Mus musculus: one gene and its partners. The protein of the gene in region 1 purifies or fractionates together with the protein of each later gene. This does not show direct contact. Links are inferred from orthologs where the notes say so. Each region holds a gene or a part of one and is shown on either strand. Other genes may lie near its edges.

Evidence for each region.
Region 2: the proteins of Ppp1r10 (region 1) and Ppp1cb purify together in Homo sapiens (affinity purification with mass spectrometry; 5 studies listed by BioGRID and IntAct, with this or other methods). This does not show direct contact. The link is inferred for Mus musculus from reciprocal best matches to the Homo sapiens genes PPP1R10 and PPP1CB.
Region 3: the proteins of Ppp1r10 (region 1) and Tox4 purify together in Homo sapiens (affinity purification with mass spectrometry; 3 studies listed by BioGRID and IntAct, counting the BioPlex papers as one, with this or other methods). This does not show direct contact. The link is inferred for Mus musculus from reciprocal best matches to the Homo sapiens genes PPP1R10 and TOX4.

Annotation. Positions count from the first base shown.
Region 1 is NC_000083.6:35,923,561-35,927,206, reverse strand, and holds part of Ppp1r10 (serine/threonine-protein phosphatase 1 regulatory subunit 10), read right to left. Parts: intron 3,171-3,646; coding exon 3,084-3,170; intron 2,963-3,083; coding exon 2,827-2,962; intron 2,350-2,826; coding exon 2,298-2,349; intron 1,006-2,297; coding exon 928-1,005; intron 808-927; coding exon 634-807; intron 436-633; coding exon 330-435; intron 234-329; coding exon 121-233; intron 1-120.
Region 2 is NC_000071.6:32,482,844-32,486,489, reverse strand, and holds part of Ppp1cb (serine/threonine-protein phosphatase PP1-beta catalytic subunit), read right to left. Parts: intron 3,131-3,646; coding exon 3,026-3,130; intron 1,232-3,025; coding exon 1,160-1,231; intron 610-1,159; coding exon 458-609; intron 1-457. UniProt on the Homo sapiens protein: Protein phosphatase that associates with over 200 regulatory proteins to form highly specific holoenzymes which dephosphorylate hundreds of biological targets.
Region 3 is NC_000080.6:52,277,807-52,281,971, reverse strand, and holds the start of Tox4 (TOX high mobility group box family member 4), read right to left. Parts: upstream 2,827-4,165; 5' UTR 2,777-2,826; coding exon of another isoform or gene 2,731-2,776; exon of another isoform or gene 2,585-2,730; 5' UTR 2,322-2,584; coding exon 2,316-2,321; intron 2,152-2,315; coding exon 2,083-2,151; intron 1-2,082. Other genes in the region: Rab2b (ras-related protein Rab-2B), read left to right, coding at 2,731-2,776, 2,987-3,058. UniProt on the Homo sapiens protein: Transcription factor that modulates cell fate reprogramming from the somatic state to the pluripotent and neuronal fate. In liver, controls the expression of hormone-regulated gluconeogenic genes such as G6PC1 and PCK1.

The DNA of each region.
Region 1 (3,646 bases):
TGGAAGGGGAGTTTTCAAAGGTACAAAAATCCTAAGATGCTAAGACATCAAAGGCAAAGCAAAAGACGGTTCTCAAGGGCAAGTCTTCCCCTGTGCAGAGTGCACCCCAGGCCTACTCACGCTGTGGAGGGATGATCTTCACTTTGATTTCTTTGGTGGTATTGGGGGCTGTGTTGAGAGGCTTGTATTTCTTCTCTGCAGGTGGGGCAGCGTCACCTGGAGCAGCTGTGGCACTGCAGATGCAAAGAAAGGACAGTCAAAAACATCTCCCAATTCCCACTTCTTTCCAAAGGCCCTGGCTCCTTAGAAACCTACACCAGTGCCCATACCTCTGCCGCTTCAGGGGGATGGGCTTCAGGTTGTACTTGTCTGACACAACCACAGTGCTGGAGTTCTTCTTCACAGGCACCAAAGATGGGGTGTCCAGCTCCAGTCCTGAGGAGAGACATGGTGACTTTAACCCTTACTGTTCCTCCCTGTGGCCGCCCTCTCCATGCTCTAGCCTTGAGTAAGTGCCTTAGCTTCTCCTGTAGCCTGCCTTCCTTCCTAGAGTTTGACACTGCAATCAAACTCCTAGCCTGAGGCACTGACTGTGCATGTGATGGTCCTGCAAAGCCCAGCTGACAGCCTTACCAGTAGAACGGAACTTGGCATGACTGGGTGCCGTAGTTCTAAGTGACTTGGGCTTCTCTTTCTTCTTCTCTGGGGCTTCCTCAGCCCGGGTCTCAGCCTTCACTTCAGTCAAAGGCCGCTCAGGAAGCGTGGTTCGACTTTTCCCCTCTTCCTTCCTTTTCTTCTTATCTTTCTCTGTTATACAAAGACAAAGCAGGTAAGCGTCTCATTTGGATAAACAGATCGTCAGAGGTGAAGAACCAGCCTCGAGACACCCAAGGGCTACCGTCTAAGGTAAAGAGCCCAGGACCTTACCTGCAGGCTGGGTGCTACTCTGGGAGCGGATGACAGCCATCCAGTCACTGACAAGGACTGATGCCAATTTCCGGAGCTCTGAAGGTGAAAAGGGGGAGAAAAACCACTTATTTAGCAATAATTTAGTATTTCCAGCAAAAAAAAATACATAAACATTTTTTTTAAAAAAAACCTCTATTCAAGGGAGAAAGCAGTCTAGGGCCAACTGGGAAGAAATGAGGGAGACAGTGGTAATGAGAGCGTCCTTCCTCTGCCTGGGACATGTCCTCTCAGTTACTAAGGACACTCAAAAGACATCATAAAACTGGAAAATGTCAGTATTCCAAAGAACCAAATATTGAGAATAAAACTAAAAAGGGTAGAAAGCTAGAGTGTAGTTTCCATTTAATGCTTAAGTTCTTTTTTTTTTTTCCTTTTTTTTCGAGACAGGGTTTCTCTGGAACTCACTTTGTAGACCAGGTTGGCCTCAAACTCAGAAATTCACCTGCCTCTGCCTCTCAAGTGCTGGGATTAAAGGCGTGCGCCACCACGCCCGGCAATGCTTAAGTTCTTACTCAGTATGCAGGGTACTCTGGCTTTCCTCCCCAGAAACAGATAAACAGCTCTAAAGGCCAGTAATGTGATTTAAAGTAAAGTGGGTCCCTTGCCTGCCTTAAGGGATAGTTCATCACAGTGAAGAACTCCTGACACATTCACAAGCTCCCCTGATATTAAAGGTCTTGAATGACCATTTTCATTAAACATAGGGATAAATCTGTATTTTTATCAGAATAGATAAGTCTTGTAAGCTGGGTATCTTGGTTCATGCCTCTAATCCAGTACTCAAAAGGACTGCCATGGATTCACAGCCAGTCCAGTCTCTAAGGCCAGACCAGTTTGAGGCAAACCTGGTCTACCAAGTGAGTTCCAGGTCGGCCAAGGCCATACAAAGGGATGCCACATCAAATAAACAACAGCAAAACCCCACTCCTACAGAAATGTTTCCCAGTAGGCATACTCCATGTAAAAAATAAGTTTCATTTGGAATGGAAAGGGATCACCAGTTGGGCGTGGTGGCACACCTTCAATTCTAGTGCTCTGGAGACAGAGGCAAGTAAGCTGGAAGTTCGAGACCAGCCTGGTCTGCATAGTGAGTCCCTGGACAGCCAGGGCTACACAGAGAAAGTTTGTCTCTCAGAAAGACACAGAAAAAGGGAGGGAGGGAAGCAGGGCTGAGCAAGCAAAAATGAAAGGACAGCCAGTAAAGGAGGCAGTAAGGCAGCCAGCAGCAGCCTCCGAGAGAGAGAGAGAGAGAGAAAGAGAGAGAGAGAGAGAGAGAGAGAGAGAGAGCGAGCAAGTGAGGCCGGGCCAGGCCGGACTCTGACACACACCTTCATCCTCACTTGACTTGCTGAGCTGCTTCACTAGTTTTGCTGTGTTGTTCTGTGAGAGAAGGAAAAGGCAGAAGGGTCAACAGAGGAATAAGCCGAGCTCACTCAGCATTAACCATCCCACCTCTTGACTGCACAGCCATACTTCAACCTGCTCCAAAGCCTGCAAATACTTTATCTTCTGAAAAAGGGTCGATCTTTGTAACCCTGGGTAGCCTGGAGCTCACTATGTAGGTAAGGTAGACCTTGAACCCACAGAAATCCACCTGCCTCTACCTCCCAAGCAGATTAAAGGCATGAGCCACTGGACTGATTCCCATTATAGAGATGGGAAACTGAGGTTCAGATCTGAGAAAGCACATGCCTAATAACGGAGATAAATCCACAGAGTCCTCCACTTCAAAATTTCCATTTCCCTCTGCTATTCCACCTCACAAATTCCAGACTGCCACCCATCAGGACTGAATGGAGCTTTTCTTCAGCTATGCTAGCCCAGAGAGGAACTGTGGGTAATGAAGCCTGAAGATACCTGCTTGAGATGGTCCACAGTGAGCGGGAGGTGCTGCAGAGTCAGCAGAATCTGCTGTAGGAGAGGAATGTTGTTGGTGGTCTTTGAATATGTTAGCCAGTTGTTCAGAAGCTTGTAGCCACCGACATCAATAAACCTGTGGGCAGGTGGGAACAGAATATGGTGAGCCTTCCTTGGTTTCAGAACTAGCAAGCTCCCATGCCCAGAGACCAGTCTCCCATCACAGCCTCCAGTCCAGTCACCCGCACTGCACTTACTTGACGAGCACTTCTGGAGCGCGGGTCTGCAGGATTATGTTCAAGTACGTGCACCGACTCACCATCTTTCGTGCCTCCTTCATTAGACTAGGAGAGGAGCAGATAGATAATCTGCTTTGAGTATTACTAGTATTCACATCTCAGAGTCAGGGTCTTATTAGCCCAGGCTAGCCTCCCCTCCTGAGAGCTAGGATGACAGGCACAGAGAGGGCGCCATGCCAGCTAATCTCCTACAGCATAAGACTCTAATCTTAGGAGTCCTGGAGTCCCTGATGACATTCTTTGCTCCAAGATGTAGACACCAGATTTCTAGAATTATGGAATGAATCTAGAGTCATATAAAAACCCAGGGGAGGATAGCAGGTACCCGAGCCACCTGGGAGAGCAGCCTTCCTGTGTCAACACACAGAAACAACTGCCTCCAGGAGGAGTCAGGGTTCACACATTTCCCTTTATAATCTAAGACTGCTTTTCTCTGGAAAAGTTTAAGGATCTCGGAAGGAAATGACATGGCCCAAAACCAAGCCAAGGATTCTGTCCTATGCTCCCCTGATAGCACCCCA
Region 2 (3,646 bases), on another chromosome or scaffold:
GCTGAGAATCAAACCTGGGTCCTCTAGAAGAAAAGCCAGCGCTATTAAATCACTGAGCCAACTCTCTAACCCCCTTCCCCCACTACCTTCCCTAGGTTATCAGTTCATATATTTGAATGTTTGGTCCTCAGAAGGTGGAACTGTTAGGAAGTATTAGGGTGGGATTTTTGAGACTTCAAAAGCCGAAGCCATTCTTAGTTCTCGCTCTCTGCCCCATGGCAGTTGCCTCAAGATGGACATTGTCAGCTACTGCTCCAGAGCCATGCCTACCTGCCTGCCACCCCTTTCCATGCCACAATGGTCACAGAATCTGTGAGCTCAAAATTAAATTCTTTCTTTTATAAGCTGCCTTGGTCAAGTGTCACAGAAACTAAAAGACATCAGGGTAAATTATCTACCTACCTACCAATAAATGAAAATGTGTGAAATTAACAATAAAATATCGTATACTGTATACCTGATGAGCTCGACAAATCAAGTCTAAATCATGACGATTCAGAAATTTACTGACTACATCAGCTCCAAAAGTAAAAGAAACACCACGGTCATTTTCTCCCCAGCCTTGCACATCCTTATCTGGGTCGGACCACAGTAAGTCACAAAGCAAACCTTTAGAAAACAGAAAAAAAACAAACAAACCAACAGTGAAATAGAAGCAAGCACAGAATACAGCACACATTTACAGCACATCTCTCCTGCCTTCTTAAACTTCAATGATCATCCCTTGTCCCTAGGCACTCCAGTCTAAACCAGTCTTTGTTAAAGTACAACTTTCTCTAGCTTCCTAGGGTAGTACTTTCTGTTGACTTCTGCATACAGGAAATATGTGTGTGGCATACTCAAGTATATGTAATACGTGGAGGCCTTTATTTCCTTTCTGGCTAGCATTTCCTGTACACAGCTTATCCACTCCTTGCATTACACTACTACTGAGCACCAGCCTATATTGCAATACTTTACTGATTTATCACGAAGACATGAACACATTAATGACTTTAATTAAGACTGGCAGGGCGGCTCCTTTTCTTGCTCTGATCACTTTGTTAACTGTTTTCAGGGATGAAACTAGGTTTCTAAGTGACTTTCACTAAATATAATTAGGTCCAAGCACGTCAACATCTTATGTAAAGCAATGAACTGAACTTCTGTATATACTAACCTGTATCAGGTACGTCAGTGGGTCTCATAATTCTCCGAATCTGTTCCATAGATTGTAGGTCTGGTGACAGTCCTATATATAGAAAGAAAGAGACTTGCTATCTAGCAGAATTATACTCATGCTATCTTTTCTATCTTTCTACCAAGGAAATAAATCATTATTCTTCGAGAGATTCCAAGGAGAAACTCTACTACTTTTTTGCAGTTGCCCTCCCCCTTCCTGAGAACACACTTAGTTGCAACCTTCCTACTGCTTCTGTACCTTCATGACCACCAGATCCCCATAAAGCATTTTTACTTGCAAGTTATACGCCTCTCTTGGTCCCCTAGGAACCTTTCCCCATATCCCACCTCAACAGTCTCATTATCTGCAAAAATGTGCATTAAACTAATAATCAGAAGGATAAAAAAAAGCACAAGAATATATCTGTAAAGTAGAACATAAGGTATTATTTCTCTGGTAGGTAATTCAAGTACCACAAGAAATGAAGCTAAATACACATATTCCACACTGCCATATTCCCACCTCAACTCTGCCAATGCCTTTAATGGTCAGTATCTATGGAAAACAACATTTCAACTAATAGAGTGAACTGTGCTGTCAGAATAAACCACTCACGTCTCAGGCCTCGCCACCATCTTTCAGCATTTCCACCTCTATGCTTCCCAAAAGACACTACCATGTATGATACCAAGAAACCATTTTTCCTGTATATCATTAAATTGTTCCATAGTGTGTGTAAATGTGTGCTCATGTATGCGTGTGTGTGGTGAGACTGATTCTCACTATAAAGCCCTGGCTGGCATGATCCTTGGTACATAGGCCAGGATGGCCTTGAACTCAGAACTATACCTACCTGCCTCCTGGGTGCTGAGAGTAAATGTGTACTTGCTTCTACCTTGTTCTAAGGAAGAAACCTCATTGGCCTCAAGATCCCTGATTAAGGATTGAATTTAGGTCACAGGACTTTCAAAGCAAGCCCTTACCATAATCTTCCCTAACTTTTGAAAAACTTTTTGTGTGTGTGTGTGTGTGTGTGTGTGTGTGTACACGTACTATCATAGAAAAGTTTACTGCATATTCTTCAGGGAGTTCTCATGTGTGTAAACTTACAAAACTTTCATCTTTAGAAGACTAAATTGTTCATGACTACTACACATTTGAAGCTCTTTAGAAAGTCATTAGTCATGGCAATTTATGATCCTCAGAGCATAAATGAGAAACACACCAAGGTAAAGCTGGGTGCTAAAGCTGGAGAGCTGAAAACTGTTTTTGATCTAAATTCTAATCTCTATATTCTAATGTCCTCATTTCCTAACATGTTGGCGTAGTGCACAAAACTTGGAAAGCTGTATGAATTATGTTTAGAGTTTGATAAAAGGTAGTTAATACAGACAGAAAAATAATTAGCCTCTCATTCTTAATGATGGCCAAGTACCTTTTATTAAAATCTGAGGTATGAGCTAGATCCCAGCACCACAGGAAATCATCTGACCAGCTGGTCAAGCATAAATTGAGGCAAAGTAAAAATACTCCACACACATCTAATTACCTTTTCTCTTTCCCTTCTCTTTTCTTTCTGAGGTAGAATCTATGGCCCAGGATGGCCTTGAGATCCTTCTGCCTCAGCCTCTGAGTCCTGGGATTCCAGTGTGTGTGGACCACTCTTCTGTTAACACTTGTATAGGAGGCATTCTCTGTAAGGCCCAGTGAAGAATTTCCTATTTTGAGACGGGGTGTTCCTAAGCCTGCCTGGCCTGGAATCAAGCTGGCTTCTAGTTGCTCTACACCTCCTGCCACACTCAGCTTTCCCACAGTACTGTCATTATTACAGTTCTCTTCTAAACAGCAAATGTATTACTCTACCTCCATGACAACAGAAGATTTTCTCATCAACAATAGCAGCTATAGGCAGACAGTTAAAACAATCAGTGAATGTCTTCCACAATTTAATATTAAATCTTCGTTTACCTATAAAAAGGGAAAACACAGAGAATTAAAGAATCAATAACTGTTTTTTTTCCCTCTGTGCTTGATTACTGTACTGGCTAATTTTGTGTCAACTTGACACAGCTGGAGTTATCACAGAGAAAGGAGCTTCAGTTGAGGAAATGCCTCCATGAGATCCAACTGTAAGGCATTTTCTCAATTAGTGATCAAGGGGGAAAGGCCCCTTGTGGGTGGGACCATCTCTGGGCTGGCAGTCTTGGGTTCTATAAGAGAGCAGGCTGAGCAAACCAGGGGAGGCAAGCCAGTAAAGAACATCCCTCCATGGCCTCTGCATCAGCTCCTGCTTCCTGCCCTGCTTGAGTTCCAGATCTGACTTCCTTTGGTGATGAGCAGCAGTATGGAAGTGTAAGCCGAATAAACCCTTTCCTCCCCAACTTGCTTCTTGGTCATGATGTTTGTGCAGGAATAGAGACCCTGACTAAGACAATTACTTAGCCCCTTTTTCTGTAAGTGAATAAGCTATGTTCAGTTTCATGC
Region 3 (4,165 bases), on another chromosome or scaffold:
AGGGTTTCTCTGTGTAGCCCTGGCTGTCCTGGAACTCTGTAGACCAGGCTGGCCTTGAACTCAGAAATCCACCTGCCTCGGCTGAGTGCTGAGATTAAAAGCGTGTGCCACCACATCCAGCCGTGTTTACTTTTAAAATGTACTTTCCTATAAATAAGGACAATGTGACTTACTGCACTCCAAACAATGAAATCAGACCATGGAGACCTTTTGGATGGAACTCGGAATAAAATCACCAAGTGTAAGACTTCGTTTCCTTCCTAATTTTGCCACTCATTTGAGTCATACCTCCCTTTGCTTAGGAGAATATTCAATAATATTAAGTTAAACAATAAACCAGCAGCCAGGAGTGCTAGAGTATGCCTTTAATCACAGGAAAGAGTTCTGTTCTGAATGGGAAGAACTCTTTACTGGAAAGGCAGAGGCAAGTGGATATCTTTGAGTTTGAGGTCAGCCTGGCCTACATTGTGAGTTCCAGGACAGCCAGAGCTATGTGAGATTGTCTTTTATTTAAAAAGAAAGAAAGAAAGAAAGAAAGAAAGAGAGAGAGAGAGAGAGAGAGAGAGAGAGAGAGAGAGAGAGAGAGAGAAAGAAAGAAAGAAAGAAAGAAAGAAAGAAAGAAAGAAAGAAAGAGAGAAAGAAAGAGAGAAAGAAAGAAAGAAAGAAAGAAAGAAAGAAAGAAAGAGAGAGAGAGAGAGAGAGAGAGAGAAAGAAAGAAAGAAAGAAAGAAAGAAAGAAAGAAGAGAGAGAGAGAGAAAGAGAGAAAGAAAGAGAGAAAGAAAGAAAGAAAGAAAGAAAGAAGAGAGAGAGAGAGAGAGAGAGAGAGAGAGAAAGAAAGAAAGAAAGAAAGAAAGAGGAAAAGAAAAAGGAAAGAAAAGAAAAAAAAACACCAAAAAACCAAACCAAACCAAACCAAAACAAAAAACAAAAAGCAAAAGCAACTAGCAATCACTCACTGTCAATCATCTCTCAACCATAACAATGTTCCCACAGGATAAACCGACACAACAGCAATGGATAACTACTTTTGGTGCAAACAACCGTGCAAATGAATTCACAGCACTTTGGGAGGTAGTATATAATCCTCAAAAGATGGACCAAGGCTCAAGTTCTCAAAAAAAAAATGGTAAAATTTCATACACTGCAGCTTTGACTTTCGCTTGCTCAAATAAGTTTTATGCTTTCTAATAGGAAAATCTGTCAACCAAAAGTTTTCCTGAATATCTTACAGCAGTGGCTCTCAACGTTCCTAATGCTGCATGGACCCTTTATTATGGTTCCTCATATTATGGTGACCCCCAACCATAAAATTATTTTCGCTGCTATTTCACAAATATAAGTTTGCTACTGTTATGAATCACAAAGTATCTGTTTTCCTATGGTCTTAGGTGACCCTTGTGGAAGGTCTTAGAACATCCAACAACCATTACTTCTACTTCACGCCATCTTTAAAAACCAAACCAAACCAAACCAAACCAAACCCTGTTATTATAGTCATTTGACAACTGGAATCCAAAGGTGACATAGTCAGTCTGTGATCACTGGGAAACAGGTGCACTCTACCCCCTTCTATGTTCTCTGGCAGCTATTTCTTTCCCTCTGTCGTTCTTTAGCCAAGCAAACAGATGCCACATCAGTAGGATGAACCACTTTTATCAGAAAAGACATTTCAAATAAAAGAGCCCCCTATAGAATTCAAGAAATAACAACTGTCCGAAGTTATTCCCTGCTGGATAAACAACTTTCTTTATCTCGATTTCTTTACTGAAAAAATTTTTTTTCTTTCTTGCTGTCTCCCAAGATTGTTAGTTATTTCACCCCCAACCAAAGAACAATTCCTTTCGTTCTTCCTATTCAGAACAGAAACTCCTCAAACAAGCCGTCTCTTCAACATCCTGGTTTCCTCATGACAGCCGCTTTCGGTTCTCCCCCACCCCCACCCCCTCCACAGTCCTTAGAGGAGCTCGAAGCCTCGGCCACTGTCCCCTCCAGCTCCCGCCAGCCCCCGCGCTCACCCCCACCGTCCTTCCCTAACCGCTGCCTAGGCCCTCCGGCGCCCCAGCATCAGCAGCTTTTGCTCACCTCGGCTCCTGACAGGAAAGGGTGCGAGGGCCCAGTGATCGTCAGGTAATTGTCATTTCCTCCGGGAAACTGTAAACCAAAAGAAAGCCGCGGTGGGTGAGTGAGCGGAGCAGTGGCGTGCTGAGACCCCAGCCCTCCCGAGCCCCCCTGGCTCCTCGCTGCCCTGCATTCCCGCTTCCGCTTCCCCTAGTCGGCCGCGAACCCTCATCAGCCCTCAAAGACTCGGCACCCACCTCCATCTTCACAGCACCACTACCAGCGACTCAGCGTCTCCGCGTCCGCATCGCTCCCACCGCCCCCACTAGGTTCCGAGCGCGTCACTTCCTCAAGGAGAAAGCGTCGCTCTCCGATGATTGGACCGAGTCAGGGACGCAACCAGTCTCGATCCCAGCTGCCCGAAGGGTCGCTGTCGCCCCCTGGAGCTTGGTGGGATAATGGCATGTAGAAGAGCACTGGGTGGCCCTAGAGGCGGCGTCCGGTACAGCCGATCCAGCGAAGATTTCTGGGGGAGAGCAATAGAGACGCAGCTTGAGCTAGAAGGGCTGGAGCGGAGGCAAATAAGGAGACCCGTAGATTGAGTGGCTAGAGAGGTCGGAGGTAAGTGGCTGTAGAAATCGGGAGGACCCGGAACACAGACGCCTCGGGACCATGACTTACGCTTATCTCTTCAAGTACATCATCATCGGAGACACAGGTAACCCGCCGACGGACCGCCTTCGGAGTTGGGGCGGGGATCCTACCTCCAAAATCGGCTTGGGGGCGGGGCGGGGTGAGCGGAGTTGCGCGGAGGGGGCGGGGCGAGCCCCGGGGGCGGGGCTCTGCCCCTGCCTTAGACCCTGTTCCCTGTCTGGGAGCCAGCGGCTTCCCGGGTGACGTGCGTCTAGTGAACACCGTTCTTTCGCAGGTGTGGGGAAGTCATGTCTCCTCCTTCAGTTTACCGACAAGCGGTTCCAGCCCGTGCACGACCTCACAATAGGTAAGCTATCCCCTCGTTCCAGAACAGCTAAAAGCTAGCTGCCAGAACTGCTAAAGGAGAAAGTTACAGTCTCAGTATTCTAAATAAAAAGTTACTTCTCGGCCGGGCGTGGTAGCTCGCGCCTTTAATCCCAGCACTCGGGAGGCAGGTGGATTTCAGAGTTCGAGGCCAGCCTGGTCTACAAAGTGAGTTCCAGGACATCCAGGGCTACACAGAGAAACCCTGTCTTGAAAAACCAAAAAAAGTTACTTCTCGCTACCTTGGTCTGAAATCATGGTATATGAAAAATGATAAAAGCTGGTAAGTGGAGGATAAATGATTGAAAGGTAACTTTAGAGATGGATGTAAGATACTAGTTGCCGTAGGATTTTTTTTTCTTCCAATGCAACTTGTATGTTTATGGAAAAATCCCACGGAAACATGACTGCTTATTAAACATCTCATCTGTATTTTGTTATTAACTACCAGCTTCACATGTTTTTCAACATAAACACCAACATAGGATTCTTTTAAGTCTGGAGAGGTAAAAGCCAATGTACGGACATTGCAGTTCTTCCTGCACAGACACCTCCTCTAATCTCTTCACCTTCTCTTCTTTTAGGAGCAAATAGCCTCAGATTCATTATATAACCCACACTGGACACAAACTCCCAGAGATCCTCCTGCATTAGACTCTCCCCCCCCCACCCCCTCGGGACAGGGTTTCTCTCTGTGTGGCCCTGGCTGTCCTGGAACTCACTCTGTAGGACAGGCTGGCTTCAAAAATCAGAAATCCGCCTGCCTCTGCCTCCCAAGTGCTGGGATTAAAGGCGTGCGCCACCACTCCCAGCCTCACGGACTTTCGTAATAAGTTTGTTTTTGCGCCGAGACTGGCTTTAAGCTTCCTGGGTAACCTGACCATGATTTTGACTTGATCGTCCTAAATGCTGGGATTAGATATGCACCACTATACTCAGCCTGTTTTTTAGTTTCTTACTCATTGAAATTACATTCTTATTGTTCTGAGAGAAAAAAAAAGTTGACAGTGATTTTTTTTTTCCAAAAAAATATCTTTTTGATTTTTGTTGAGGTAATAGGTATTCAGAACAGGTATTTCATATAGCACCT